Linked DNA regions of Alligator mississippiensis. The protein of the gene in region 1 interacts with the protein of each later gene in a biochemical or structural test. Links are inferred from orthologs where the notes say so. Each region holds a gene or a part of one and is shown on either strand. Other genes may lie near its edges.

What was found.
Region 2: the proteins of ABI1 (region 1) and ENAH form a complex in vitro, tested with the Homo sapiens proteins (2 studies listed by BioGRID). The link is inferred for Alligator mississippiensis from reciprocal best matches to the Homo sapiens genes ABI1 and ENAH.

Annotation. Positions count from the first base shown.
Region 1 is NC_081828.1:189,405,410-189,421,578, reverse strand, and holds the start of ABI1 (abl interactor 1), read left to right. Parts: upstream 1-8,547; 5' UTR 8,548-8,632; coding exon 8,633-8,749; intron 8,750-11,391; exon of another isoform or gene 11,392-11,490; intron 11,491-13,265; exon of another isoform or gene 13,266-13,354; intron 13,355-16,169. UniProt on the Homo sapiens protein: May act in negative regulation of cell growth and transformation by interacting with nonreceptor tyrosine kinases ABL1 and/or ABL2. May play a role in regulation of EGF-induced Erk pathway activation. Involved in cytoskeletal reorganization and EGFR signaling.
Region 2 is NC_081824.1:180,326,572-180,343,021, forward strand, and holds the start of ENAH (protein enabled homolog), read left to right. Parts: upstream 1-8,346; 5' UTR 8,347-8,361; coding exon 8,362-8,369; intron 8,370-16,450. UniProt on the Homo sapiens protein: Ena/VASP proteins are actin-associated proteins involved in a range of processes dependent on cytoskeleton remodeling and cell polarity such as axon guidance and lamellipodial and filopodial dynamics in migrating cells.

The DNA.
Region 1 (16,169 bases):
TCATATTCAACTTACTATCCACTGTAACCCCCAGGTCCTTTTTTGGCTGGGATGATCTAGTTGGGCATGGTCCTGCTTTGATCAGGGGTTAGACTAGATTTTGAGGTCCCTTCCAACCCTCACATACTATGAGGTCCCCAGCCTGTACCGGTGCATAGGATTGTTCCATCGTCAGTGCAGGACTCTGCAGTTCTCTTTATTGAGCCTGGATGCATGGCTGTATCCAGATGAGTGCAGCATTGTGGCATGTGGCACTGCAAGCCAGTCTGTGGTATATACACCATACATTCAAGCGTTTCCCATGCTGCCACCTTGCAGCACAGGGTTTGTTGGGTTTTTTTTGTAACACCTGGAGATTCAGGGGTAAAATAAACAACACTCCACACAGAAAAAAAGCAGATGGTGCACATGGGGACAGCACGCATTGCCCAAAACCAGAGCCATGCTCTGGCTGCTGCTCAGGCTTCAAGCTGCCAGAATGACACAGCTGCAGTTTCCCTGGCCCCCAGGTAAGGCTGCTGGGGACAACACAGTTGCTGGCCCCAGCCTCCCCTACCCTACATGGGGTAACCTGCCATGTGCCAGAGGGCATGTGGTGCAGATACTCCCTGGGGACAATCAGCAAAGGCACAAGGTGTCCCACTGCTAGTTGTCCCTGGGGAACCAAATGTCTGCACTCATCTGGATGCAGCCCATGAGATTTCTTTTGGTCCAGTCCTCCAATTTGTCAAGGTCTCTCTGAATCCTAACCCTACCCTCCAGCATATCTACTCCTCCTCCCTGCCCCAGGTTGGTGTCATCTGAAAATTTGCTGAGGGTGCAGTCGATCCCATTCTCCATTTTATGCAATGCCTAGCAATTTTAAGGGGCTGACTCAGTTTAAAAAAAAAAGTGAGCTAGAGAGTGGCCCATGTAATACCTCCCCTAAGGCTGCAAGGCAGGCTCAGTTAAACACAAAAAAATCCAAGTGAACACACCCTTAACCTGGCCCCAGCAACACAAGTTTCAAGGACCTTGGTTAATCTGCACCACAAAACTACCCAAAATAAACACTCCCAGCATAGGTTAGGTCTCACCTTGTAATTTTCCTTCAAGGAGTCTTCCCTCTCTATGGAAGCCTCTGCCTCTGCCTGTCCTTTCATATCTGGTCATTCGGTCAACTTCCCTCTGTATTGACAATTGCTTGCCAGTTGAGGCCCCTTACATGGCTTGTTGCTGGCTAATTGACTCAGGCTGCCTGTTACAGGTAGTTTGAATAGGGATGATCCTGTCTTGAGTAGGGAGTTGGGTAGGTAACTTCTTAAGGTCCTTTTCAGCCCTACTTTTTCTATGATTCTATGAAGTATGTCTGATAAACTTTAAGTCCTTGTCCTATAAATTGGAGTGATATTATTAACACTCCAAATATTATTAACACTGCAGAATAGTTTTGGAATATAATAATATAATTTAATTATTATTTGTGTTTTACTTTATGATGGAAATATATTTCAGTGCAAAAGAGACATCTTGGTTAATCAGTACAAAATGATATGTTCTTTAAATCTGTGTTTAGAAAATTACGCTGTAGAAAAGTTTTTTTTTCCCCTGTAGGAACCAGGTAGAAGTGAACTTCTATGCAAGTTTACATTTTCTCAAATACAATTAAAAAGACAAAAGTGGAAGCATAATATTATATATATATAATAATATATATATTATATAAAAATAATATTTCTTGGCACAATCCTATTTGCAAACAGAAAAGCAAACATATTAGCCACAGAAAATACTGCTTGTTATGACTAATCCAAAACTTAATGGCTAAAGGCTAGAGTCAGCTTCTACTGAATCTAACACAAGGCTGCTGTCTTTACTTTACACACAGTTCTTCCTATCACAGGAATACTCTCAATCTGCTTTAGCTGACTTTGCAAACAAGCCAGTGGTGTCAGGGCGGATAACTTCCATTCTGGTTAACTAGAAGGTAGTCCTTGTTGTTTTATTATAGAAAGCAATGAATGATTGCTGAGATTGATCATGTCTCCCCTTTTGTTTAGATATTACTTAGTCTCAAATTAAAAGAGACATTATTCCTATTACACAACAACATGTAACATGAAATTAAAAAAAACCCTATACCTTCTGCATAACTAGAATTGTGCCAAATTGCTTCAAATGGCCTGAATGCTTTTTTTTTTTTTAAGTAAGTTCCCAGTTGAGAATATTTCTAGTGTATGACCAAGAGGTTTGTATCCCCATCTTCTTCAGATTTTTCAGGTTGGGCGCTTTTGATAAAGATATCAGTGACATCTTTTCTTCCTTTCTTTTGTTTTTTCTTAAGTTGACATTATTTTCTGATAATGCTAATGTGTACCCACAAATGGGAGAACACTGTGCATATTCCACGTTCTATTCCTGTTGGCTTCTGCTGGAATCCAGGACACTTCTGCCCAGAAAATTGTAAACTTACACCTGCTTCCATTGCAGTAAATGGCAGCTTTACCATTATATTAGCTGCAGGAACAGTCCCAATATCCTTACCATGTCTTTGGCTAATAAAACAATAGTACAGCATGAAATACTACATTGTGACTTTTTTACCATCCCAATATTGTGACAAGAAATATTATTAACACTGCAGAATAGTTTTGGAATATAAACTTCTGCTGGAAAGATACCACACTCCTTTCAGAGTAGCATGATGCTATCATTTAATTATTATTTGTGTTCTACTTTATGATGGAAATATATTTCAGTGCAAAAGAAGCATCTTGGTTAATCAGTACAAAATTATATGTTCTTTAAATCTGTGTTTAGAAAATTATGCTGTAGAAAAGATTTTTTTTCCTGTAGGAACCAGGTAGAAGTGAACTTCTATGCAAGTTTACATTTTCTCAAACACAATTAAAAAGACAAAATTGGAAGTATAATATCTCCCCATTACCTTTATAAAATTTGCATTTCTTTGCAGATTCCTTGATTTATTTTTGTTTAATACAGAAATAAAACCCATTTCTTGTTTAAAGAATCCACATTGATTACATTTTTTAGCTTTTGAAGGACTGATAATTGAAACAATTTTCCTTTCTTCTCCACACAGTTGATATATATTGCTAGGATGAAGATAGGGACTGGATTAGATTTAAGTTATCAATATTCTATGATAAGTTTCCAAATCAATTTTGAAGTGCATATAAGAGCTAGGTTGTAATAGTCTTTTAATTTGCATATTCATGTATCAAACATTCTCGTTCTGTATTGATGCAAAAACAAGACCTTTACAAGTTTTTCATATGAGACCTTACCACCCAGAAAAGTCAGATTACTCAAGTGGGATTGTGGGAGACACAATTTAAAGTCCCTGTTCAGTCCCATTCAGACTCAAATACAAGTATTTATTTATAAAGGTGGAACAGCTGTAAAATTAGATTGACAACATAGCCTAGTCATGTGGGTATTCAGTTGGAATATACTGGTTCAAAACATTGGGTTTGGTTTGGTTTCTGACACCCTACCTGAGGTATTCTAACTACTGAGATATTTGTTCTGAGGTAGGGCTCTTTGTTGTTGGTTTTGACCAGAATTTTAATTTGGGAGCTGTTTTTTTTTTCTAATGAACAAATTGCAGCATTCTTGTTAAAAACTACTGTTTTGGTGAACTGGCATTTTTGAATGAGAAACTATTTTTAAGAACTCCTAACCAACTCTGTAACTAATGGACTCATCAAGTCACTAAAATGTAGCTGGCCAGAAAACCATGACTAAAATATATTAGAAGAGAGCTATCCTCCCATGTTTCAACCCACAGGTTAAGAATTTTTAAAGCTGGCTCCCTGAGCATCCAAGAGACAGAGGTATGCGGGGCCAAAGGACAAGGCTAAGCTGAAGGGTGTGTGGTTCAGCGGGGTGGCTGCCCAACTGACTGAGTGGCAACCATAGATCCTTGTTCCCAGTGGGGCAGAAACTTCCCCATTCTCCATTTTATCCATTGCCTAGTGATTTGAAGGGTCTGTGACTCAGTTTTAAAAAATTGTGCTAGAGAGTAGCCTATGTAATGCCTTCCCTAAGGCTGCAAGGCAGGGCTTGCTTCTTGCAATTAGATGTATTCTTTTCACATTAAAGCTACCCACTCCAAAAAGGCATTAAAAGCCATTAGATAAGAGAGGAACTAATGGTGAGGCCTGGCCAGAATACATTAACATAATAAGGATCCCTGCCAGAAAATAATCTTTATGCTTTATTGTATCCCAAAGTTTTCATTACAGTATTGTTCAACCTCAGCTCTGTCAACGTATCATGTGGGTATGAGACTGACCAACTTGCCATTTAATTATACAAACACTCTTTATGCCTCCTGCCTTAGACCTGAGCAGGAAGGTCATGAGGCTGCTTCTGTCCATATTTGGGTGACTCAGCAGAATACTGACCCTTTTTTTCCCCTCACAACAAACCACCTGTCCCCTTTCTCAAGCACTATCTTCATCTTGTGATTTCGTCCTTCCTTGCAACTGGCATTTTGAAGGGCATTTTGGCAGTGAGTGCAAAACAGAAACCAAGAGGAGTGACCATGAGCTGGGAGAGGAAGGGATTTAAGAGCATCTATGATGTAAGAAAAATTATGGAGCTATTAGAGAAGAGGGGACCTCAGACTCAGCCAGGAAAGATGAAAGGTTGAGGGGAGGGAGGAACAAAGTGGCAAACAAGAGGCAGGGAGTCCCGCAGAACAAAGAAGAGGAGAGAACTGAAATTGAAAGGACAGAACAGGAGGGAGAGAAAGGAGAAGCTTGGTGGTTAGAGCATTTATAGGGAGGAAATGGGATAAAAGAAGATTGGAGCGTAGAGGGAGGGAGAGGGGAGAGAAATGGTGAAGTGGGGCGGAGAAAAGGATTGAGAGTGAAGGCATAAGCCATAGATGAAAATGCATTACGGGAGAAAGATCAAGTCAAAGTACCATAGAACTATTTATTTTTGTGCCTCTTCTATCTTTGTACATTCTCAAGATAGCAATGTTTTGTTTGATTATTTTGTGCTCTCCAATGGCTAATGCTGCCTAGCAGTGACTGGCTTGAGTGTGCTTCCTCTGCCATCACAAAACACTCCTGCTGCCTAGCAACAAACAGTTTGTGTGGAAGCCTTGTCCAGTATACAAGGCACCGGTTTTTAAGTCAGGCAGATCCCAGGAACAGCGGGTTCACAGGAGCATGGTGTGTGAGGGCACCTCTTGGAAAAAGATACTCGTATTCTCAAATCTTGGCACTCACGAAAAAACCCTCCAGCTCTTATAGTTGTGAAGAAAACCTCAAATATATATGTCTTGTAGGGCTCTCTGCATGAGCTGAGAGACGTGGGAATTGCCCCATTCAGTTCAGTGAGGTGTTAACTCAGGGATGATAAAAATAAGCATGATATCAACAAAATATTAATTACATTGGTAATTTCATTCCTTGTACAAGGCTATATTTACACGAGATAAACTGTACCCAACAAACCTAAGACAGAGGTAGGCAACCCCTGGCATGGGTGCAAGAGCTTGGCATGTGAAAGCATTTTACTTGGCACACAAAGTTTGGGGCAGGCAGTGGGGAAAGGGCTGGGGCTCCACTGTCACAACAATTGGGCCCCTTGTGGCTCCCCTACCATCTGCCCTAGCATGTGAACATTTTACAAGTTGAGGTTGTGGGTGCTTTTGGCACTCTGCCCAAAAAACATTGCTGATCCCTGGTTTAAAATGCAAGTATAAATGAAAATAATTCTACTGATATAATTTTCTGGTCAATCTTATTCAGGTATGAAAGTGCCTGAAGTGCCCTTTTTTGGTTGTACTAGTCTCCCCTGAGAAAGGGATAAATAATAATAATAATAAGCCACTCTTGTACCAGCATAAGAGTGTTCACTTTGGATACTGGGATAGAGGTTATATGTGTAATCGGTATGGTTGATAAAACTTTCCAGTACAGGATGATCCTAAGAAAGAAGACCAAGGGTTGTGGATCTACCCAAATTACTGAGTAAATGTTCACTTTGTTGCCATTTGTGAGGCTTCTTCTTAACCCAGGAGGAACCAAGCCCCAAAACAGGGGTGGCCAAACTGCAGCACACATGCCGCAAGTGGCACTGGCAGCCTTTTTGTGGCACATGGCAGACTGAGGAGGGGGTAGGCAGCAGCATGGGAGCAGATCAGTCAAGAAGCAGGAAGGAGAGTAGCAGATGGGACTGGGCAGGGGATTAGAGTAGTACTTAGGGAGGCTGCAAGGCTTAACTTGTGGTAGGTCTGTTAAAAAGGTTGGCCCCACTGCCTCAAAATGTGGCTGTGTTTATGGATGCCTTTAAATCCCAGCCAAAGGGAGCCCATGCATAAGAAGCCAAGTTAGAGTGATGCAGCAGCATATTTAAGCATCTACAAAATCTGCTGTGTGCAGGATGTCATCTCAACTTCTCCCTGGAATAGAACTTATTTTTGTAGGTAGATCTTGAATAGGACCACAGCTATTCTTCTCCTGCAGTCAAGAGAGGTGTGCTGTTTTCAAATCATCTGTTGCCTTGCTGTGCTTGACCAATGCTTGAACAATCATTTAACCTTTGCATGGATAGGGAAAACAAAAGTAAGCCGCTATTAACAGCAAGTATCAGCTAGGTGGCGCTGCTACATATGACCTTTCAAGTTCTGTTTCTTGTTCCAGTAAAGTTTTGATTCTTGTGCAGACACCAGGAGGAGGTTGCCTGTTTGGATTATACAAAGTATTTGGTGTAGAGGCAGTTTGTAGAGAAAGGGAACCATGAAAGCAGCAGGAGAATTTGCTGCCTACTACAGCTCTGATTAGTGTAAGATCCTGAGGCAGAGTTGTCCCCTTAAGAACTTTATCATTTTCAAAACAAGCACCATTCATAATACAGCAATTAATACAAAAACATAAAATGTGATAATTAAATCCTTGTGCTAGTGCATGTACACAAGAAGACATGTTCAGCAAGTTTAATTAATGCTTTAAAATGTGTTTCTTACATCAACCAAAGCTGGAGAACGCCATGTCTGCTCATCACATGTCCCTTAGTTGCATTATTCTGTAGAGGCTTCCTCTCTGGCTCTTGAGTATGCTCATCCAAGTCCACAGGTGTGACATTTCCAATGATAATTGCAAAGAAAAGAAAATCAGTTTCTGGACCTTCCTAGATCACTTGTTATGAACTTTCTGTGTTGGCTGACTCAGACCTTATAGCACCCCCTTTCTGGTGATGAACACAAAGTCAGGTAAGATGCAAATAAGACAGATGCCTATATGCCTGTTTGAGTTGAGCAGCAATCTGTGGATGTGTCCAGATTAGTGCGGCTGTGCGGAATGTGGCACCACAGACCCATCTGCAGTGCCACATGCTGCACATGCAGACGTTCTCCATGTTGCAATCTTGCAGTGCTACAGGGTTTTTTGACCCCAGGAAATCCTGGAGGTCAAAAACCCCTGTGCCGAAGAGAAGTGGGGTAGTGCATGTGGTGGCAGTGCACACCACCCAAAACCAGAGCCTGGCACAGGCCTGGGGCAAGTAGCAGTGGCACAAGGTGGCTGTTTCTTGTCCCCGGGGAACCAAACGTCTGTCCTCTTCTGGACGCAGCCCCTTATTCTAGTTTTGCCACTGCAGCTCCTGGCTGAGATGTGCACACAATTATAAGAAAGCCTGATGTCAGGGGCAATGCGTAGGGGGTGCATATGCACCCCCTGAGTGCTGGTGCACCCTGTCAGGCTGCGCTCCCTGTTTAGCCGACAGGCAGGGGGGCAGGCAGTCAGTGGGATTGGCTGCTGGGGGACTCCCTTCCCCTCCCAGTCACTGACTCAAGAGGCACCAGTCACCCGTGCCTGATGCTATCACACAACTCAGTAAAAGTGGCCTGAACCCATACTCTGCCCCAGAAAAGATACTGAAGAAGTGTCTCTCTTCAGCCTCCTCCTCTTCTGGTGGCCCGAGTGCTCTGGTTCATTCCCACAAGGACCACAGCCCCCACCAGGTTTTCCTCCTGGGTTTCTCACAGCACTTTGAATGGGGGAGCAGTGCTTGCTGGAAGAACCAAAGAGGATGGGATAAGAAAGACAAGGTTCTTTGAGTAGATGCAATATCTTTTATTAGACCAACTGAGTAGTTGGAAAAAAGTTCTTGCCAAGCTTTTGGGTGTTGTCACCCTTTGACTGAGCCCGAAAGCTTGCCAAGAACTTTTTTCCAACTACTCAGTTGGTCAAATAAAAGAGATCACATCTACCCAAATAACCTTGCTTACCTGTGTCCTTAGACCAACATGGCTACAACCAAAAACCCAGCAACAGGGATGAGAAAGAAGCATCCCGAAAACTGCTTGGGCTCGGGCAGCGCTCGCTGGGGAGCCGCCACCCAGGCACTCAGCGCGGTAGCAGCCGAGACGCGGCGCGGGCAGGGGAGTCTCCCATGCAGACCCGGTGGTAAAGACAAACGCAGGAGGCGGCGGAGGCAATCCTCCTCCTACGCATGCGCACAGAGGCGAGCGCCGAGGCCTACATTTCCCAGGCTGCCACACAGCGGGTGGGTGGGGCAGTCTCCCACAATGCCCTCTGGGCGGGTGGCCGAGGCGGCGGCGTTGCCGCTGCTGTCTCTTTAAGGCGGGGGAAGCGATGCGGAGCGGTGGAAAATGGCAGAGCTGCAGATGCTGTTAGAGGAGGAGATCCCGGTGGGCAAGCGCGCGCTGCTCGAGAGCTACCAGAACCTCACGCGCGTTGCCGACTACTGCGAGAACAACTACATCCAGGTGCGGCCGCCGGCGGGGCCGGGCCGGGCCGGGCCGGGGCGGGTGGCAGCCCGAGCCCAAGCCGCGCCGGGCAGGGCAGGAAGTGGGCGCCGCGGCGGCAGGAGCAGGGAGCGGTGCAGCCGGGCAGGGCCCCCGCCGCAGCCCGGGGCTTTTCTCCCCTGAGGTTTTCTGCTGAACTTCATCCCAGTCTCCCGGGCGGAGGGTGGGGGCGGGCGGGCCGCGGCGCCCGGAGGGTGTGTCCGCTTCCCCCGGGCTTGTTTGTTGTGAGTCACGTCGCGCCTCCCGCCCTGGGGCCTGCCTGCGTGTGCGTGTGTGTGTCGGGCGGCACATGCAGCTCAGGAAGGGAAGGGCGCGCCCAGCTGCCAGGCTCTGCTCTCCGCGGGACCCACACCCACACCCCGTCAGTCAGTCAGGCGCACACTGCCCCTGCTCCGCTGCCCCCCCACGCACACCCTGTCACAGTCGCACCCCACCTGCCCACTGTGAGGGACTTCCGCGAGGCAGGAGTGCCCGAGCCCCCCACACCTTGGCAGTGTGTGTGGAGGTGTGTAAGCATGTGCGCTCACAGACATGCTTTGGGGACCGCTGGGGCTGAAAGGACATGCTCGTCCCAGGTGTGCGTGCAGGGGCGTTGTGTGGCAGGGTGGGAGGCAGTGCTTGCTGCTGCTGTGGCGCCCCATCCGGAGGGCAATGGATGCTTGGGCCTGTCACTTCTGTGAGGTGCGGCCTGTTGTTCCCACTGCAGGGTGCTTGGGCCTCAGACTGCTCTGGTGTCCCCTGTTGCTGGGACAGCCCCAGGTTCCACAGCCTGCTACCGGTGGCTTCCTAGTGACCCAGTTCCCTGCGCCTCTGTCTGAGGCTCCTCTGTGGGTGCTGCTTTAAGGACACTTTAATTTAAACTGTTTGCAAAGCTTTCATTTGATCTCTTTGCTTCCGAATCCAGTCTTCCATCCACTGTGCCTCTTGTACATTCCCCAAAGAACTCAGCTGTTCTCCTCCTCCTCCCTCCCTCCCCCCCCCGGGAAAAATGATATAGAGAAAAGGAAGCTGAACTATATGCCATGAGTTGTCTTTCAGATAAGCCTTTCAAATGTAACGTGTCCCCAGTTGGGTGTGCTGTACCAAAGCTCAATACAGTTTTTAATACTTCCAAGTTATTTGGTATCCATCTGCAGCTAGCTGGTTATCCTTCTTTTCATGGAGCACCACACTTGAAAAGGAACCACAATGTTTCTTTAAGGAAATTGCTTCTGAAAATACAAAGTAATCATTTTGACACTTTAGATTGAAACTGCACTAGGAAATCAGAATTTGCATAGGGAAAGGTTGACATCTGTCTGAGTGGGTGGCAACACAGTTTAAACTTTTTGTTTTGTTCTTGGGAGTTACTTGCTCCACCCGAAAAAATCTGCTGATGCAAATGCTTTTAAAAGGTGAGGTTGCATTTGGTTTTACTCATGGGAAATATGACAAACACATGAACATAGTAATTGCAGCTCATGTTTTGACCTGTCTGACTCTTCTTTCTATTTGAGAAAAGTTGCAAAGAATCTGTTTGGCACTGTGTTCATTTAAAATGATCAGAATCATAAACCTTACTAATGTTTTTAAAAGAAATGAATCCCATTAGTCATTTGAAAGTCACATAACCAGCAACCACTTGAGAATCAAAACCTGCTGTGTACTTGACAGCCTGTCTGCAAGTGGCTGTATTTTCCTTTTTTGGAAAGAATCTGACATGCTAAAATGCAGAGTCAGGACTTACGCAGTAGTCTCATGGGGTTTATATCTAGTTTGCATTGTGTGTAGGTTTAATCAAATTTAGAAAAAGTGTATTGATGATGAGAGAGATATTATTTTTGGTAAGGTAAGGCTTGAATAAAGCCATCTGTTCTACTGTTACAGAGGATTGACTGTAGTAGTGGCAGTGTCCTAGATGGCACTGCCACAGGATTAGAGGATACAAGGCCAGTGTAGGGTGATGAGAATGAGTAGGTGGGATCAAAACGTGGTGTTTATACTGAGTATCTTTGATCGGACAAGTCAGTCAGTATTTTTAACATCTAGGTTGGCTATGGCACCCCATTTGTCTTTATCGTGGGAAGAGGCAGTCAAAGCAGAACAAGGCAAGAGAAGCTATAGACGAAGTACAGCATTAAATGTAGGATGTCATCATCTGGGTCCCTACTTAAGTGACTCAAACCAGGCTCTGTGAGGTCTCTGACAGAAATGTGACTACTGGTGCATACGCTCTGTCTTTCAGATCTAAACAGCAATATGCTGTTCTCATTGCAGGTGTTACTCTGTTGCCACCACCTGTGCTTTGTGAAGTTGAAACTAAATGGATTTTGTTTGACATTTTTGATCAAACCACACAAATGTTTGTTGTAAACACATCTGGTTACTGTTTTTTTGTATTTGGTATCTAGCTGTCTTTACCTGGGCAAGACTTAGTTTTATTAAAGATAAGACTTAAAAGCAATAATCTTAAAAGATTGATTTCCCTCCCCTGAGAGAACTTTAGAAGTATCTGTATTCAAAATATATGAAATATATATATATGAATATATATCAGTCTGAAAAGATGAAACTTAAATCATCTTTCTTGTCCTTTCTTTTCTTTGTTCCTACTCTGCCCCCAGCAACTGACTGATCTCTGGATGCCAGTGTTCAAAGGAACTGGGAAGCAGTTTACGGTTACCATGTACTGTGCAACAAACAATACCAAATCAGAATTCCAGGTAGTAGGGTATCTTGTCTGCCAAGCCATTCATGTTCTGAAAGTCTGTCTAATAAAAGGAAAAAGAAAGAAGATGCTAAATGGAGCCAATGAGATTAGAGGGAAGGCTGAGAGTACTGAAAGAAAATTTAAAGTGGTGACTGTTGAGGGAGAGAAGAAAAGGAAATGGAATGTAGAAGTAATAAATAACAAGAGGAAGTTGGCTCAAATGTTGGGGATTTTTTTTCGCATTTTTTTTTCTTTTAAGATTTGACTAATGGGAAACAGTTTTAAAATAACTAAATTACTGGATTTAATTTGTAATCAGATTTTCAGTCTGTCTGAAACTTCTGGCTATGGTTATAAGTTCTAGTGATGATTTTTTTTTTTTTTTGAAAGCAGCTAGAAATAAGGCATCTGATATTTTTGAACAGCCAAGTACCTTTCCTTCAGCACTTCTACAGGCCAGATTTTGAGTCCTCAGCTAGCAATCTGTTTTCATCTCCTTGTAAAAGGAGTTGTATTAATATGTAGGCAACTATGTAGAGGGTGAGTGGGACAAAACATAGTTTTTTCCTTAGTTAATTAAATTAGATCTGAGATTTATAAATGCTAATTAAATGGGCATTTATAAAGTACCATTGTATTTCTCAGGCTAATCTTAGTGCTAGGTGACAACCTAGAAAGCTGGACACTTACTTATGACTAAATGTGTCTTTAAAATGGCATGTTGGGAGGTAGGGTAACCCACCTGCGGTGGGCACTATAGTAGGTGCCATGCAAATATAAGCCATGGTTTCTGTGTATGAACCTTTCCCTCAATCCTTCTTGGCTCCTGGTAAAGTCTGTTGTTGCCCTTGTCGGGATGAAAGAAAACTGGGAGTCATTGCATAAAACTGGCAAGGTTGGTGATGAATTCCCCAGTGTGTTAAATTGCAATATGGGGATTGCGAAGGTGATGAACTTCCTTTGTCATTTCTCTCTTTGTGCTCCCAACATACAGAATCAAAGAATTTGCAGCTCAAGCTGCTGCTTTTAACCTCATCAGCTGACAAATATTAACTTACATGGATTTTTTTAAGAGTTTAGTTTTTAGGATAGACAGTTAATTCTTTTACAGAAGCGAGCATACCTGCAATAACTTGTTTAGTGCGTTTGACAGTGAAGACTATAAGTAACGTAGGAAAATGATGCCTTCAGAGTTATTATGCAAACTCTTTCCTTTGAGTTACTACTGTTGATTGTGAAGATTACAGAGGAAAGCTCATTTCTCTGTCAAAGTGTATAAAATAGTGCTTGTTAACCTCTGTCAATTAAAGTCAAGGGCTGCTTACAGAGGTGGAAAAAAAACAAAATGGTACTTTTACTTTAAGTTTGGTACACCCCTGTGCCAAGCGCAGTGCATGCACAAAAGAGGCATCGCATTAGTTGGACCTGGCTTGCCCAATATCTGTATAGATCAGGGTCTTTAGTGGGGCCTTTTTGGCACTTATAGCTGGTTGAATCGGCTTTTAGATAAAAGCACCAAGAAGCCCCACTGAAGCATCTGATCTACTTGGATGCTGTGGAGCCAGGTCAAACTAACGTGTTGCTTCTTCCGGTGAAGCTGTTGTTTGTTTGGATTTTTGTTCATTTGTTTGTTGTTTCTCCCCCCCCCCCCCCCCCCCCCCCCCCAACTGTCAGTGCCCAAGATGATGCCCTGTGTTTTTGTATCTGCTTAAAGCATCATTTTCTAGTCTTGTTTACTTCAATTTGTTTAACAACTAAATCACACATGACTTTAAATGTTGCATTCAGGTCCTGTAAACTAATAGTTTGGAATACTGTGCGACTCCCATAAATGATGGTCCTGAGATTTTAGTGAATGGATTCTGCAGCTTTTGAAGGTAAATTGCATAAATCATGAACAGGACATTTTGAGGAAGTAAGTGCTGAATTGCTTAATGTTGTTTCCTGCTGTAACTTCTAGCTGTTATGTGGAAACTGTATTTCATATGTAGCTGAATGTGTAGTTTTTCTGAAAGAAAGGCAGAAGCAAGGGTCTTTTAGCTTGACCTTTGGAATTTTACCCTAGTGAAGGGAATTGGAGGCTTCCTTCCTGTTTCGGGGGGGGGGGGGGGGGGGAGGAGGAATATACAGATTGCATGAGGGGGGGAAAAAGACTTTTTAAGCCAGAGTCTGGACTTTTGATAGGATGTGTTTATTAATTGGAGAGGCTTGTTCCATTTTTATCTCGGCGTTGTACAATTGAAAACAAATTACCACGGATGAATTCACTTTTAAATTGACACGTGCATCATAATAATATGTATTTGAGCCTTTTTAGTGTTTTTTTTCCTTTTTAGTTGGCAACTGATTTGGCACCAGATGCCTTTTGCCAGGAAGAATGGTAAAATGTGTCTCAGCTGCTTTCAGTACAGTGGCATTCACTTGAGCTGTTTGTTGGATTCAGGAAATAACCTTCTTAAACAGTCACTTATACTAGATTTTATGTGCTGTGCAAACTTAATTACTTTTGTTGTGTATAATTAATTATTTATATTTAGGCTTCCAAAATGGTTACAGTATTGACTTAAAGTTGGGGAACAGAATAGAAAAATTGTCTGCCCACAGTTTTCTTTTGTAAGTGGACACTGCAAGAACTGCCTTCTAAACGCATTTGATTTTAAAATATGAATGTTTTTGCCTAACAGACTTGATGATTGGTAGTCAGTGAGAGCTGTCAGTTTTGGAAAAACGGCTTATTTTTGTACATAGGTCTAAAATGGGTATCAGCTCCAAGGTCCTAGTTTGTTTGATTATTTTGCATGTACAGGAGGAACCAGTCTTCTAAATAAGGAAAACGCAAAGTGATCATACTCTTATATGCCGAAGGGCTGGTTTTCACAAATTGGAAATATTTATGCGCAAACCTTCTAAAATTATTTGAGGGAGATGGCAAAATTTCCATTACTCTTGCTCCTATTTCCCATTACTACTTCAGTAGAGGATTATGTTTGTATTGCTCTGATGTTACTAGGCAAGGCAGAGTGAATGGGACTAAGCTGTGCTGCAGAGGATGCCCTGGGGAAGAGATGGAACAGACATAGAGAAGAGGTGATATGGAATTATGGGGCCTGATAGTGGCTTTATGGCAGAGAATCAGAGATTTGATTCCTTATTCTCTGGACTGGAAGGAGCTGAGAGCATTTAGGTTAGTATGTTTGGCACTTGGGGTTTTTAGAGGAAGTGATGAATGAAAGAGAGAGTTGCATCTAATTTTCTTTTTACCCCAAAATCTGTAGTACAGGTCCCTGTAGATATGGGCCTGTAGGTTAAACTCTGTTCTTTCACACCTTGGATATGTGAATAAAAAAACAGCCTGAAGTGGTATAGTGAGGATATAGAAATCAACATCCACACCATTTCTCTACAGAGCAGTAGAAATAAAGGATGTGGGGAAACCAGGAAGAGTATGAGTCAGAGTAAGAGGTAAATGGCTTAGAAAGTATAACAGAATGTATGTGTATAGTGCCAGTTATCTAAAAATTTAACTTTCACAAACAACAAATTAAACCTGCCAGTAGCTCTGCTTTGTAAGCTGCATTTTAATTACTTTGCAGATAAGTTAAAAGGGTAACTGAAGAGCAAAAGGTCATATGGGGACTTACTGGCAGATTTGGGAACAGTGCCTAATTGTTCTGACTTGTTCCCTCCTTTCCCCCAGTTGCCACCATTAGTCGTGCCCCCCCCCCCCCCCCCCCCCAAATACTCTGTAAAAGGAATTTTTCAGAAATACAGCAAACAATGAAATGGAGTCCCCAGGAAAATAAATGTGCCTGAGACTTTTCTTTAATGTCTTGAGTAATTATAAAAAAGATTTAATTATCTGCTTCCAGGTGTAAGTTTTAAATGCCAGTTTTCAGCTTTTGAATTCTATAACCCCTGCAACACCATGTCTCAAATGCTGACAGATTCCTGTCAGTGCAGAAGTCCTCAAAATAACTACTGTATTGACTTGAAAATAAGATGATCCTGATTATAAAATGAGCCCCCAATAATTAGATTCTGTATATGTTAAATTTATAAACTTGTTCATAATTTTTCAAGTATAGACTCTAATTAATTATCAGAGACTTGTCTTGAGTTTGTCCCTTTCCCACTGCTACAGCAGGGAAAATATAGTGGCAGGAGGTCAGGTAGGCCCTTTTTTCCCCTCTCCCTCCCTACTATCAGGCCCTGCTTGGGGTCTGTTTTTTCTCTCAGCATCTGGAAGTGAGGGGCAATTTTGATATGTAAGGGAACAAAAACCACTGATTTCAAAATAAACAGATCTGTAGCAGTTTGCATATAGGCAAATTACTGTGGGTACCTACTTAATCCAGAATTGATGCTTTTTTTTTAAATTTATTTTATTTTTTCATATTTTTGCAAACTGTTGTAAGTTTTAGCACAGGTACTCAAAACACTTTTGAGCAGCACTTTTGTACCTACTAGTACATAGTACCAACTTTTTTTATATTTTTGAAATTTTTTTTGTGTTCCATGTCAGATTAGCCAGATCAATTCAGAATCCTTTGAATAGTTCAAGAACTGTGTGACCCTACTACTGGCAAGTATTCTTCATCCCAGACTTTTCAGCCTGGGGCTTCCGATACTTCCAAATCCTTTGGCAGGCATCCTATGTGCAGGCCCAAGCTTGGAGGCTTGGGGTTTAGATGT
Region 2 (16,450 bases), on another chromosome or scaffold:
ATGTATGGAGTATTTTAAGGAAGTAGGGGTGCACTGATAAAGATTTTCTTGGCCGATACTGATAGCCAATTATAACCAGCCATATCAGCCAATACCAGTCTATTAACTGTGGGTTGAGTCACGCTGGGCTGGGCAACTTGGCTCTACCCACCCCTTCCTGGCCCCAGCCTGCAGTTTGTGCCATGCCGAGGACACTGTGCCAGCTGCTCCACGTTAGCTCAGCCTGGCCTATCAGTAAGGGGATGGGGGGGTCACCCCAACTTTCGGGGGGGGACCAGGTGTCCAGGGCCCCAGCCATGCGGTCACGAGGAAACCCAGGCATCCAGGGGTCCCCGCCAGAAGGCATAATTATCAGAGAACATTATTGGCTATAATGGCCAAACAAGCTGATAGCCAGTAATGTAAATTTCCCTCTTACCGGCGCTGCTCCAGTAGGCAACTGATATATCGGTGGACTCATTTCTTGGTAGATAACTCACAGAGTTGTGTTAGGATCAGTATCTCATACTTTGTATACAACCAGTGGCATGACATGATTTTTAAAATATGCTGCAATGTTAACAATTGAGTAGCTGCTTATTGTACCTCTCAGAGTAACATTTAGATGCAGTTCTTTGCAAAGTGTTGTAGCATACAGGCAGTCCTCAGACTTACGACACAATTGGCACCTGAAAACCGCATTTTAAGTCGAAACGTTGCAACTCCGAACCAATTTTCTCATAAGAAATACTGTTATAAATGGAGGATTGGTTCCTGAACCAAGGCCCTATACACAATTTTCACAAAAAATACTCCAGAATTTTGTACTCTGTCAGTTATAGATGAGTAATATAACTACATTTAATGCATTTATATAGTAAATAGCAATCACATTGTTTTGGAAAGACTTCTTTGAGGTGACTTTGCTGGACTTTTTGAAAGGCTGGAGTCTTCTTGGGAGTCTTGGCTGTAGGTTTTTCTGGAGTCTTGTCTGCTTTCTTAAAGAAATTGTCCAAGGACGTTTGGACAGATGGTCTCCAGGGAGGTGAGTGACACAGTGAACTTGTTTGCTGGTGTGGCGTGGCATCGGATCAAGCGTTGTGAAGTTGAAACTGACATCATAAAGTTGAAACGGTGTCAATTTATAAACGTTGTAAGTGCAAAATGTTGTAACTTGAAACATTATAAGTCTGACTGCCTGTAGTCCAAACCTAAGGTAACAGGAAAACATGGGAATATATGCTTTACCAAGGAGGACAAAGTGCATGTTGCTATTGGCTTGAAATTTAGCAGTAGTAACAAAACACGATCTTCAGTTTGTGAATGCTAGTGATACATAACAGTCATTTTCATGTACTTGCCAGCTAAAGGAGCTTTTAAAGACCTTGAGACAATTGAGTAGATGCCATTTAGAACTCTGGTGATCAGCCTTCTGGCTCTCCTGGTCAGATAAATGGCATGGATGCCAGTCTGCATGCTGGGTCCAGCATGGGGTTAGTCTGTGGGTGCAACCTGGTACACCAGATCCAGCTGAGGTGTGACCCATGTGCTGGTCTGGTGCCAAGTACTGGGTCTGACCTGCAGGGCTCCCCATAGTGACAGCATTAATTGCCACTAATTAGTTAATTAGTTCTGGAAGCTATGGTGATTTAATGCTGCCACTGCTGCCAGATTTCTGGATCTGGTGAGCCTCCTGGACCAGATCATATGGCCCCCCCCAGGCACACTTAGTTTGCTGGCCAGTGATCTAGAACCTAAAAAAAAAAGGGGGGATAGAGTTAACCATAAAGTAAATTGTAGTATTATTGGAGTACACTTGATGGTACTTGTTATCTTATGGTCATCTGTATCAAGGGATAAGCATGTATGCTTGATATTTCTCTCTTTTAGAAAGTGTTAATTTACTTTCCCAGTCAGCTTTGGTTCTCTACCTTATGTATGCCTAAAAACTGCTGACTAGGTCCAGGAAATATTTAGCAATCCAGTTTATTGCAAAAACTTCCTAGTAAGTATTTTCCTTTTATCTTCCTCAAAATGAAGGTTTAGGCATGACAAATAATGACAAGGTTGTCCACATTGCGACAGCTGATTTATGTCGTATTTGAAATTTTTTTGAGTACAAATTTGTTCATTCCTAGGAACTCCTGAAACCTTTTGCTTATCTACTCAGATGGTTTATAGGATAAGGGAGAATCTTTTAGGGGATATGAAGATGTGCCATTTTTTGACTCTCTGAACTGTCACTGGTCACTCAAGGCACTTTCTTATAGCTGACTGAAAATAAGTGCTGAAACAAGATGTAAGGTATCTCTAACATCTTAACTCTGCCTTTATTTTTAGATTTGGAAGATTCTTGCAACCTGTTAATTTTAGCTTTTAAATGAATATGCCTCTTTAAAAATCTGTTCAGCCATTTAGCTAAAACATTCAGAGTTAATCTTATAACTTCCTAATTCATAAATATTTTGAAGACCTAAGATTTAAAAAAAAGAACCAGCATGAGTCTAGTAGCAGATTTTTGTGTTGCCACGCTGGCGTTCCAAATTAGGAAACTCCTAGTCTTAACTCTTATAAGGAGAGAGAATGACAGCACTGAGTAGGAAGCTAATAGTTTTGTAGCTCTAGAGAATAGATGTTTTAATCAGAAAGGAACAGACTGAAGACAGAAATGTATACAATGGTCACATTTTAATTTTGGACTGTAGAAGTAGCTGTTCAATTATACGACTACATCTAATATTAAAATATTGCTGTTAAAGAGGATTGAGGCAGGGAAGAGAGAATTTAGTATGTAGATAAGCTTTCAGCAGTATGTTTATTTTAGGGGACAGACATTCTTTCAAGAGGACTATCCAACTTAATTAGAAATTTGAGGCATTGCTTACAAGTTTCTAATAGTCTTGGTCACTTAGACGTTTGTGAGAAGAATTGCAGTGCTGGATATTTAATTTACCATGAGGGTTTTAAGAATGTCTGACATAGAGCAGCAATTTTTTATTAAAACACTGGAAACTCCTTTGACTTTTCAGTTGCCTATAACAATGTAAGTAGATACAGTAGCATGTTTTATGGTAGTTTAAAGAAATAGCACTTACAGGACTAAAGAACTGATATTTTATAAAGTTTGATTTTTTTTTATTTTTTTTTTTAATAATGATTTCACAGAATATTTTGATAGTCTGTTCAGAGAATCTGGGTTTAGTCCTAACTAGGATTGTAAATGCAATTATCTGATTGCACGGTTAAGAAATACATGTATTTATATCTGAGCACCTGTTCTGTAGTGCCTTTTAAGACATTTACTAGTTTATTTGTGTGGTGTGTTGGTTGTTGTTGAGTTCCTTTTGTTTCCACTGTTCCTCTTCCTTTCAAGGAAAGGAACAATAAAGTTGTCTATCTAACTTTTTAAAATCTGCATGCATAGCTGTATTGACTCTCAAATTTTGGTGCAGCTGTTTAGGAGAGCATCTTCTGCTGAAACAAACAAGTTATGTGCATATGTTAGATTTTTATTTTTTTTTTTGGTAGACTATTTGCACTATAGAAGTGTATGCTACATTTCACTTTACACTGTGGGTTTGCCACAAGTGCAAAGTTTGCCTAATTGCGTAACACAAGTCTAGTCCCAGCTACCTGCATTGTGACAAACTTTGGTTATATGCATGTTGACTAAGTGTATAAATCATTTAAACGCTAGGAATTTTTGGCCATACTGTCTATTTTGTAAGTAATTGTAGTCCACTAATTGCATAATTGACAATACTGACTTAGAGCTGTTGATTTCAAGAACTCTAAATCAGCTTTGAACTGATTAGATTTTGTTAATTTCAAGGCTGCTGATTAGAGCAGTGGTTTTCAATCTGTGGTCCAGGGACCCCTGAGGGTCCACAGATTATGCCCAAGGGGTCTGAAAAAGATGACGATGATAAATCAAAACTATGTGAATACCCTTACTTAAAATTCAGAGGGTTCCACACTTGCATTCAAAATTTTCAAAGGGGTCCACACCTCCATTCAAAAATTTTTAGGGGTCCACAAATGAAGAAAGGTTGAAAACCACTGTATTAGAGGCATGAGGCACTCTGAGAAATGATGTAATGGGCCTTAATGAGATGCAGAAAGTGTTGTCCAAGTTGTTCCTATAGTTAATGAGTATTGTTTAGATTGAGTTGGAGAAAGTGCCACAGGTCTTCTTTAGTCGAGAGGCTAGGCACTTAAATTGAGTACACTGTATAAATGGGTTGTAGTGATAGGTTTCATAGAAGTTCTCTGTTCCTATTTAGGAGATCCTAATAGACTTTGTAGGTACTTACGCATTTACATCCTTTAAGTTGGAAATGTAGGTGTACAAGTCAGAGCAATCTTAATTTGACACTTCTCAGTGGCTGCAAAACTGCCTAGGCATCTAGATTCTCATAACATAGCAGTGTACTAGTACTAATCTGTCAGAGAACCCCCAAAACCAATATAGGGAAGATTTTATATTTTACATACATGAGCCACTCCTATTCCAAAATTAATATGTTAAGAAAGCAAAAGGAAAGAGAAACCCGCCCACACTTTAGCTCAGTGGTTCTCAATCTGTGGTATGCATACCACCAGTGGTACACAGAAAACCTGTTGGTATGCATTAACAGATTTATTATAATTACTTTATACGACAAAAATTTGCTGGTGGTACTTAAGGTTGTATGGTTTTAAATTGGTGGTGTGCAGTCTCTCAGCATTTGGGAACTGCTGCCTTAGATACTCAGTGGCTATGAAGTTAGGTTCTGACCGGGCTCCTCAAACCCATAAAGCAGCTGCTTAGCAAATATCCAGCCACTTACTTTGAATTTGATAGCCGTGATTTATAATTTCATTCCCAGATAGTGCTCTGAAGAGCAGCCTTTTCCCTTTTACCCTTGCTAAAATGTATACAGGCAACCCTCACTTAGCACTCTTAATTTGTTCCTGAAAAACCGAGCGTTAAGTGAAACTGAAAGTATTTGACAACCCAAGATGGTGACCACAATTATTTTTAATGACTCAAGATGGCAACCGTGAGCGTTATCATGAAACTCGCTGAACACTAAGTGAAATCAGGTATCAATTTAAAATGAGCGTTATAGTGAAATAGTGCGAAGCGAAACAGCATTAAGCGGGGGTTGCCTGTACAGCTCTTCCTTATCTGACTGGCACTGGGGTGGCATGGGCACTGAGGTGCATGGCTGACAGCCCAGAGGTTGCAAGGTCAAGACCATAGCAGAAGTGCTCATGGTGCAGCCCTGTCAGATTCTAACGAATCTACAAGTTCTGCAAAATGCCTTGTCATACAAGGACATGAAAAAGGAAGGAAGTGTCTGACTTCATTTTAATTAAATGGAAAAAGTAAATGTTTTAAATCCAAATCTTAAATGGAATTTTGTTAACGAATAGGATGACCATCCATCCCAAGCAAACCTGAACACTCCCGGCTTCCCTATTCCAGTCCTAGCTGGTTGGTTGGAAGTCCTGGAGTGGAGCCTGCCAAGGACGCGGAGCAGTTTGGTGTGCCTATTGGCTTGGCAGACACCACTGCTGCTGAGTGGGAGCAAGGTGGGTGGACTGAAGCAGGGTGGCTTTGGGGGACATTACTGCATTTACTCAAATTCAAGACAAAGTTCCCCCCATTTAATGGGGGTGGTAGAAAAAGCCCCTTGTCTTGGATTTGGTTTACAAGGTTTAGCTGTTGTTGCTTTAGCTCTAGCCCTGGCCCTAACCTAGGGTTGGAGCCCAAGCTAAGGCTGCTGTTTGTCCCTGTCCCCATCCCCCTGCTACCTCTTTCCCTGTCTCCTTGTACCCCACAGTCTCTGCTCCCCTGTCTGTTTCTTCCCTTTCCCTGCTTTTCCCTCCTCTTTTCCCCCTAAAACTCCCCCTATTGCTTAGCTTGGCTCCAGCTTCAGCAGGCTCTAGCCTCTCCACAGCCTGGGCCACAGCGCATGTTTGCTCCAGCCCCAACCCCAGCCCAAACATAGGATAGTGGGGGAGGTAAGTGGTGTGGACAGACAGGTGGCAAGGGCAAGGTGTTGTGGAGCAAGGAGCAGGGAGCAAGCTGCTTGACTTCCCCTGCTGCCTACCCTTCCCACTCCCCCCCCCCTTTTTTTGTCAATGAGAACTTGAATTTTCTTATCATTCTCATCAAACCAGTCCTGATATTTCTTTGTGGAGAAGCCTAGAGATTCTTCTCATGACTCAAGCATGCCTTTCCTGAGGCTTTCCCAGTGATCAGTGGTGTCAATATCATCAGTGAGGTTGGAGAGTACTGCTGGAAATAATTGCTTTTATCAGGGTCTTTCAAGCACTTAATAATATTGAACCTCTTCTTTGGTTGTTTCTTTTGCTTACACCATTTTGGGGTGATGAATGGGCATGATGGAACATATTGTCAGGGTGTCTTCTTCATTAACCATGCCGGGCTGGGCCAAGCACTTGAGCCAGCACACCTGCCCTGATCCTTGGTTAATAAGATTGCCCTAGTTTTCTGTGGAGGTGAGCAACTGGATGGACTGCTGAAAGCACCACTTACCCCTTTTAAGCATATCTCTGCAGTGTTTTGAGTAGGGGGTGCATCCATGATGTCTTTCATTTCTTCTGTAACTGAATAGGGAGTTTGTAATGATAAGACTACATTCCAAACACTTGCTCAGAAGGAAAATTCCATTTGAATTGACTTTTCCCACCCCTTCCTTTCCAAGTGTTCCTTTCCATAGTTCAGATTCTCTGCCCAGTGTAGCATTGAAATTCCCAAGAATGGTCTTATCTTTTTTGGGGGCAGATGACAAGACTTGGCTGGGTTTAGAATAGGATTCTTCCTTAGTTTCATCATGTGCAGCCAGGGCGTAAGCACTGATGACTGTTGCATGTTGTCTGTTGGTCAGTGTAAAACAAAAGGTCACGAGACACTTGTGTATGCCAAGCGGACATTTCGCATCTGAGTAACAATTTTGGTCCAGATAGCAAAATCAACACATGGCTTTATCTGCAGCAACACTGAGATCTTTATATGGCCTTTGTTGACCTAAGGCCTTTGATTCAATCAACAGAAAGGCCCTTTGGAAGATACTGATGAGATTTGAATGCCCATCAGAAGTTGTTGCCATCATTAGATTTCTTTGTGATGATGACATGATGAGAAAGTGTAAGCTGTGGCTCAGAAATTAATTCCTTTGCTGTTAGAACTCCTGGAGTCAAGCAGGGATGCATGATTGCACTAACATTTTCTTCTATCTATATTGCAGCTATTTCATATCTCATTGCTGCTGGGCTTCCATCTGGAGTCAGCATCCAGTACTGTGTGGCTGGGGAATCTCTTTAACATCAACCAGATAGGTTCCAAATCCATGATAACCAACATTGTCATTACTGATCTTCAGTATGCTGTTGTCATATGTATCCACTTGATCAAAGAGATCCAGGTCACTCACTGCTTCTGTGAAGCATGTGAAATGCTTAGACTTATTGTCAACTGCACAAAAAAACAAAATACTTTTTTCAACCTGCCCCAAAACAGCCAGCTGCTCCCTCCTCCCCCACACATTACAATTAGAGGGTAATACTTGGAGAATTTTGAGTATTTCCCTTACCAGAAATGGAAACGTGGATGATGATGATTTCTAGATTCAGCACTGAAAAAATCTGCCATTGCTGCCTTTTGAACATCTACAAAATTGTGTCCCTGATCATGACATCAGGACCCAAACCAAAATTCTTGTCTGTCAGGCTGTTGTTATCTCTAGCCTGCTGTGTGGGTGTAAAACTCGGACAGCTTAACAGAAGCCCCAGAGAGCTTTGGAGTGTTACCACCAATGATGTCTTCAGAAAATCCTCTACCTCAATTGAAAGGACAAAATAATGAATATTGGAGTTCTGGCTCAAGCAAAGATCACCAGTGTTGAAGCCATGTTTATATATAGCACCAGCTCCATTAGGCAGGACAGGTCATAAGGATGCCTGACAAATGGCTCCTGAAACAGGTCCTGTACTCGCAACTTGCCAGTGATCACATTTCTAGAGGTAGGCAAAAGAAGAGCTTCAAGGACAGCTTAAAGACCAATCTGAAGAACTGTGATATTGACATCAATACTTGGGGGACCTGAGCTCTGAATCATCCCTGGCTGAGTATGACAAGGCATTGACCATTTTGATCAAATTTGTCTCATTATGGAGGTGAATAGGTGAGAGGGACAAAGGAAAAGAGCTGAGACCCAGCATCACCAGGATCCACTTCCTTCTATAACTGTATACCATGCCTGCAATCAACATGCAGATCTTGCATTGGTCTCCTCATTCATCTCCAGATTTATTAATGACTTCCCTATTTATGGAAGACTGTCACCCTGATATTGAGGGACTGCTGACTACATGGAAAAGTATAGCATTTTAATAGATTTTTTTATATATAGAATCTAATTACTGGGTAGTTGTTTTAAATTCAGTTTTGTCTTGGATTCAGGTAAATACAGTAGTTGCTACTGAGGCTAGCTTTTGCTAGATAGAATGCAGATTATTTTATTTGTTTTAAGGGGATTCCTAATATTTTTTTTCCTTTGGGTTGTTTGTTGTGATTTGTTAGACCTTCATATAAAATCAAATTGCCTTATTTAATAAAATGTGCTCATTTTGTAATCCGTGTAATCATTAGTTTGAAGATTGTTCCAAACTTCTTTCAAATGCTGCTTGGAAAGTGATTTTTAAAATATATCTGGCTGTTAAATTACTTTGGTATTTAGTCAGTAAACATTCTGACCACAAGTGTCAAAGAACAGGCCATATTTTCTAGGTGAAGTTGAGAAAATGATCTGCTGATATCATTTGCTAATCATATGTTTTGCATTAAACGTCACAATAAGGCATAAATTAATTTGTGAAGGGTACAAAGATGTTTTTGCATGACTGTTCTTCTAATATCCAGTACAGTGACTCTCAGCCTTTTTTGGTCTTAAAGCACCCCCCTGGAAAGTGCCAGCTCTTAGCCTTCCCTCAGTTTTTGATTATGAAAAAATAATATAGCAATGCTGTTCCAAAAAAAATTAAAAAGACCACAACAAATGTTTTTGACACTGGATTCCTATTGAAAATCTCTTGGTTTGTCTTGCGAACCATGCATACTAAACAGCCCAAATGTTGCATGGTACCCTGGAGGATGCTGCAGCACCCTGGTGGAGCATCAGTGGTGTAGTCTCTTATATAAATTGAGACTATTGAGAAATAATAAATGAATATAAAATCAAAAAGTCTCTTTTAAAAATTATTTAGAATTCTGAGTTGTTTGTACTGCTAGTGTTGTAATTGCTCCTCTTCTATGCAGACATTCTCTGAGAAAAAGCATAGGAAGCATTAAAGAATGATATGTTTGGATTCATAAATCTCTGCTTTGATTTACTTAAAGTGATCTTAGTGCAAGACTACTAGTCTGACAGCCAATAGAATGCTTCAGGCAATGAAATTTTCTGCTCAGACTGTCTCTGAGCCTTTTTTTACCAAACATAGATACCTTGAGGGATTTGGGATAATACAGTTGCTGAGATTCCTCTTGGATGAGATGTTTAGTTTTATGTGAAGGTGATGCAGAGGGTGGGCTTAATGAGTCAAAAATGTGTAAAATGTAATTCTTAGTCCCTAGAAGTGTTATTTATTTTAAGATACATTAGTAATCTTATGTATTGTTACAGATAATTTTTATTATTAACAAGGCTTGTTAAGAGTCTTATGAATCTAGTTCAATTAAAAAAAAATAGTTGCATAGAGTAAGAAGTGTATTGGTTATATTTCTATGTGTTCCTTCAGTTATTTCTTTTTCCTTCCTTTGTATGAGGCAACTAGAAACATAGGAAGATGCATGTTTTGTTGACTTGTCTGATGGAAACATGAATTTTTCACCGTATAAAGTTAGATGAAAATTTCTTCATGTTGGTATTAGTAATCTCTTATTCCCTTCATGCTATTTTCCCCTGATATTGAAGGAAAAAAACATATGGATGATCTGAGGGGTAATTTCTGAGTTTAACTAAACAACTTGCAGCTGTAAACCTTTTATTTTGGATATATTTATCTGTTCTTGAGTCATCAAGCCAGATATTTTGAAACCATTAATTTATTTATTTTTGAGATCAAAGTTGGATAAAATCAGAAGTCTAACTATTTTTTAGAGGGTCTTGATGATACCCAATTTCCAGTTGCCTAAATTAACTTTTGGCATATAATTTTGTAAAACAGGGTATAAATTATATTTAAAAAAATAAATGAAACCCCCCCCCCAATAAAAAATCTTGTTCCACGTTAATTGATAACACTTGGTGAGTCAGCTTGTTACTTGCTAGTTTCTGCCAATTTCCCCCTGCTTTTCTTATTTTCTATTAGAGCAGTGTTGTTCAACTATTTTAAGGTTTGCTTCATTTTCTTTTTCTTTTCCTTTTTTTAACCAAGGACGTGAGCTTCTCCGTATAGAAAAACATTATAATTCTATACTTTGGAGTATCCTAATATTAAGTATTTTATATGGTTTTCCTTTCCGACATTACTTATTCTAGTATTTTAGGCTTATTTATACAAAGTAAAAGTTCAGTATACTATTGTATTATTTAAAAAATTCTAAACGTAATTAAACTTTTAAAAATCATTACCAAAAATAAGACCAACCATAATCTTGTACAAGATAATTAAAGAATTTCTCTCAAATGACAGATGGAGATTGCCTAGCTGGCAACATGGTATCTTATTTCAGTTGTCTGTGATTCCCAGTGCCCTACTAGCACCTCCTAAAGGGAGGGTTGTGTGCTTTTGGAAATGCAGTGCAGGTTGGGACCATGCTGTGCCCCAGAGCAATGGGGTTTTCATTACTTTGAGGTGATGTAGCTAGAGCAAGGAAAAGAGGGTCCAAGCAGTAACTGTGACGTGATCAGCTCCTGAGCTGCGTGAAAGCTCAGAGTTCCCTGGTATGTCAGCATGCATGAACACTGCTGCTGCTTATAGCCCTTTTTCCCCATCACTGAATTTAGTAGCAGGGGAAAGGAGGAACTAGTAGCAGGAGTGTTCACCCATGCTGACATGTTGGTTGACAATCAGATGTTCCCACTGGCTTTGCATCTGGCTCTGTGTCTGGCTGGTGGACTGAAGGTTGAGAAGCACCATATTAGTATATTAAGATAGATAAAGTACAACCTGGATCTTTGCAAGTTTAGGTTCCTTACTGTCCTGTAAAGATGAGGGTTTGAGAACTAGCCACAGCAAACAGCACTGAGAGACTCCTGAGGTGCTCCAGCCATTTATTGCAGCTTTCATTTTAAAGTACACCCTTTCTCCAGCCAGCTGTGTGGAGAAAGAATGTAATTTGAAGTAAAAGCTGGAGTGAACAGTTCAGTGCATTGATTTTCAACCAGGGTGAAATGTGATGTTACCACTTTTATGTGTGCAAACTTGGGTTCTTAAGAGAAACCCAGAGATTTCAAATAGGAATCCAGAGTGTCAAAAACATTCTGACCTGTTGTAGTCTTTTGGAGTTATTTACAACAACAAAAATTGCTCTATAATGTTTGTGCACTCAATAAATGAACAAAACCTAAGGGGTGGAATTTTGAGGGGTGCCTCAAGTTTAACAAGGTTGAGAACCACTAGTGTAGTTGGCTTTATCTTGACTTGGTAACTTGGTGCAAATGTAAGCAGGTTGGGAACCATCATTATATAAAGGTCTAGATTCTACCACACCTTATTTGCCACCTTATGGTTTCGTTAACTTTGACATCCTTAATTTCCATTTTGCTTCTTGTTGGTCCATTCGTATCAGTGCAGTGAAGTTCTTTTTCACAAGTTACTACTTCCTGTTCTTCATCACCTATTTTATAATTGGAGTGATAGTAAAACTGTAGTTAAAAGCATTAGATAATTTTTGAAGCTTAAGGTTTTTCATGATTTACTTCACTCTTCCTTTACCTATTTCTCTGTTACAATTTGTTATTACTTTTGCTCATCGTTTTGCCGTACTGGTTTAAGCCAGCTTCGCCACTCTTTATATGGCTTCTATGCTTAAAACATTCTCTTTCAGTATCGCAGGGGTCATTTTTTCTTTTCAAATTAGTTTAAGCTAAACTCTCAAACACTAAAGTACATTTTCAAAACATTAAGAAAAGTTGACATTTCTCTTAGTTTCTTAGGTTGTCTGTTGAGACTGTTAGCTGCTTGGCATCAAAGATCTATGTACAGCTTCACACAGAGCACACTGCTGGCTATAGGGTTAGTGCAGCAAATTTTGATGCAGATTGGTACATAGCGAACATTTCAGTGAGGAGGTTACCTTAAACATTTTAATTGACAGGTCCATTGTTTTTGCACAGTGAAGTGTACACACCTGTACTTGATTTAAAAAAAATCACAAATCTAGTTTGACAGGATTTCATATGGAATTGTTATTGATCTTTGCTGTCACACTGTTTCTTTGAATGAGACAAGCAAGGTTCTTTGGGTAGATGTAGCTTTTATTAGGCCAACTAAATAGTGAACTTTTTCTGTAACTGTATTGTAGTCAAGTCTAACACCTGTTGGCTATCAGCCTGTTGCCATGTAAATGATTGTCACCAAAACTGCAAAAACATGAGGGCAGAACAGATGGGCTGCAGTGGGACAAGCCCTTTTTTAAGCCTCATAGCATGGGACTGAGCATGAAATGCACTATGAATGGATTTATGTAAGACAGGGGTGTTGTATTCACCCAGCTCCCTGAGCTGGATCTAAATTGGCAATGGTCACCACAGGGATAGACTCCACCCATCGCTTAACCCCTGCTGCCAGCATGTACCCCCAGTGGGATCTCATAACCCAGATTTCAATAGTAGGCATAGTTTCTCTAGGAGTGCTGTGGCTGAGTGACACAGTTCCACAGTCCTGATCCCATCCTACGGGCTGTGCATTAGGTATTGCCTCCAGGTTAAGTCTTCAAATACACGAAGGGAAATTTGTAGAGAGAACAGATGTAGGCTTTTCTCTGTGGCTGTGCGAGACAGGACTAGGTTAAGAGCCTCAAGCTGCAACAAAGGAAGTTTAGGTAAATGATAAGGAGGAACGTTCTGACTGTAGGGGTGGTCAAGCATTGGAACAGGCTACCTAGAGAAGTTGTGGAATCTCTGCCTCTAGAAACTAAAATGTCTCTTATTACAATTCAGGATATTGATTTATATCCTTGTTCATATGGCATTGCTTGTCTACCCTCCCAATAGTTACCCCAATCTTAATTCGCATGGGGGTAGTTTTAAATTACTAACTAAAATATGGTTCTGTTTTATGAAATTAACCTGAATTTGTGCTATTATAAATATGCAATGAATTAAGCACTGTGTTCTGGTTTTTTTTCTTTTAAATCCCACTGATACTTAGAGCATTATTTGAACTCTATAAAACTGTTGTAGGCAGTATAATACTTGGACAGGTGCAAGCATGAATAGTCCTATTAACTATTATTTTGCTTAGTGGTATAAAATCTACCACTGTTAAAACAAAATTGCACTTGTTGGTGGAAAGTTGCATCAATGTAATGAACGTAATGGAAGTTGGACCCATCCTGCCACTGCTTCTTTTCTCCCTCCCTTCTGACTGCAGCAGCAGTATAGGCAAAAAAACTCACCTACCACCACAGTGCCACTGAAGCCCCTGGCCTGCATCACACCAGAGGCAGGTTGTTTTGGCCTGTTTCCCAAAGCTTGCTCACTGCTGGCTTAGACCAACTTCAGCAGCCTGCATCTTATGCCTCAGGATTATTCTCATGATCTCCCAAGTCACAAAGCCTAGGAATGACATTATGCACACGGTCAGAACCCATTTAATCATTTTGCCTTGTTTGTTTGCCAGGCTTGGGTATTTGTGGAGTAGCACGGAATATGTGGTGCTTGTTTCTTTAGCAGGCAAATTGGCATTATGGACAAGCCATAAGGCACCCCATTTCAATAAGTAATTTATTTATTGCAGTACTTAATTCCAGGTTGGGGCGGGGAGTGTGAGCAGAAGGGATGAGCACTTAACTCCTCACAGAGCAGCAAGGCAGGGACAATCATGAGCTTAAACCTTCTTGCATTGGAGCTGGGTGGGCACAGATGAGCCTGTTTAGCTTCTCATACACAAAGGAAAGGGATGGGAGTCAGGGAAGGGAGGAGTGAGCACTTAGTTCTTTACGTAGGGGCCAGCAGTGACAAGCCTGGCCTTTACCCAGAGGTGAGTCTGCACTTACCTCCTAGCATAGGGGCCAGGTGGAGAAGACCAAGTGCTAGCCCACCCTATAGCCTTCCTTCTCAGTGCTGCTGCCCCCCCCCCGGTCCAGCCCCCCGCCCCTCCCCCCCCACTGGAAAGAGGCTGGTGCAGCCTCTGGCCCCAAGCCCGCAGTGGGCAGCCCACCCTTGCTCCATGCACAAGTCTGGGGCCCACATGCCCCCTTGTACTTCCCCTAGGGGTGTGTGCGGCATCTAGGAGCCGCACCCCTCCCCACCTCCTGTGCCCTTTGGACGAGCCGCCCGTGGCTCTGTCTTGGGCCCTGCCCTGACGGGGCAGCACCTGCCCTAGCTCCACTCCCTCCCTCACCATGGGGGGGCCTCAGTCTGCCCCCTTTCCCTTCCACCTCCACAGACTTACCAGCCAGAGGCTGCTCTAAAAGCTGCTGGGCTGCATATCAGCTATTGGATCAGTATCGGCTGATGTGGTAGGTTAATAATTGGTCATTGGTATTGGCCAAAAAAATCTTTATTGGTGCACCCTTAGAGTGCAGTACTAACTTGTGATGTAACTGCCAAAAAGATTGACCCCCACTGCTTTAGGACATGTAGTTTGACAACAAAATGGAGTCTCTTTGCATTTGATTAATGAGAGTATGAAACCACCTATGTGCAGCTCAGTGGATGTTCCTTATGAGGTGCTATGATAGGGTTGCCTGGAGTCAGGCTGGGTCCCAACATCCATGGTGCTTCTGTTGTATCTAGTAGTAGAGTCCTTGTGTCCTCGTAGGAATACATTCTTAATATACCATATTTCCCCAAACCCAAGACAACTTTGAACTTAAGATGACTGCCCCCCCCCAATAGTTAGATGTTATACATTAAAAATTATAAATTTGTTTTACTTTCCATATATAGAATCTTATTAGTGGAAGGTCATACTAAATATGTCCCCCTACTGCTGTGGTGGAGAAAGAAACGATGGAGGCAAGTGGCCAGCTCTCCCCCCTTCCCCCCCCCCCCATGTCCAACAGTGGGATGCCCCCCTCCTCACCACACAGTCTTCCCTGGCTACGTGTCCCCTTTCCTGCTGCACAAGCCACTCCAGCCTAGGGGCAGGGGGTGGCTTGGCTTTGGCTCTGAGCCTGGGACCACACCTGGAGCTGAGCTGCTACCTGTTCCAGGCTGGTACTTGAATCTAAGACGAGGCTTTCCCCTCCAACGCTGTTTGGGATGGGGAACCTCATCTTGGATTTGAGCAAATATGGTAGTACATGACTGATTGGGCCATATTTATAGACCTTGCCCTCAAAAGTAACTGTTTTTTTCCTGATTCTTTATGTTGGGAAAGTATGTAGTTAGTAACGGTCTTTGATGATAGTTCCTGGATTTAGCATATTTTATTTTATTTAAATATTTTTTAAGATTATGAAAAGTCTATCCCCGAGCATATTTTACACAAAATTTGGATTTTGTTTTAGACTGATCTGTTTATAAAAATAAGAAAAACTCTTAATTTAAAAATAGTTAAAAGAATATCACTTATTTTTAGCCCTAAGAAGCAGGAAGACTTTGACAAAAAAAACCTGTTCTTAGTACCAAAAGTGTTCTCAATTCGGGCAACCTGGACCCAGTGCTGGCCCCTGGTAGTTGATCTGCAAACTGTTTGACACAGTTAGCCTTTTAGTTTGCTTTGAAGAGCATTTCTTTGCAATTCTGCTTTCCAACACTTGTACAATCATACTGAGACTTGTTTTTCTCAGTGGTATTGAAGTTGTCAGGAGACTCTTAGATACCCAGCAATGCAAGAGCCTGTTTCTGCCAGAAACCTAAATACAGTCTTTCTTATACTCCTGGAGCTTTACTTACTCTCTCTGGGAATGCTCCGTATTTCCTGCAGCTTGTTGCAGCCAGAAGAGTGAGCAAGTTTTAGGCCTGTGTGGCTGAGTCTTTCTACACGGCATTCCACAAAGATGAGGTAATGTGAAAATCTCACCCAGAATTCATCCCCATGTTAGGTGAAAGCCCATTGGTTAATGTCCACCAGTTATTTTCTTTAAGTTCCACTCTCGTATCTGGATATCTTTTAGATTCTTGCTTTAAAGGACAACATACAAAATCAATCAGACATTTAGTTGGGAGTTCACACATTTTCAGGTTGTCAGTGATCAGATCTAGCTGTGGTAGAAATTCATTAGTATTATGCATGTTGTCTGTACTGTGCTTTGTACGAATTGAGTCACATGAGGTCCCTTCCAGCC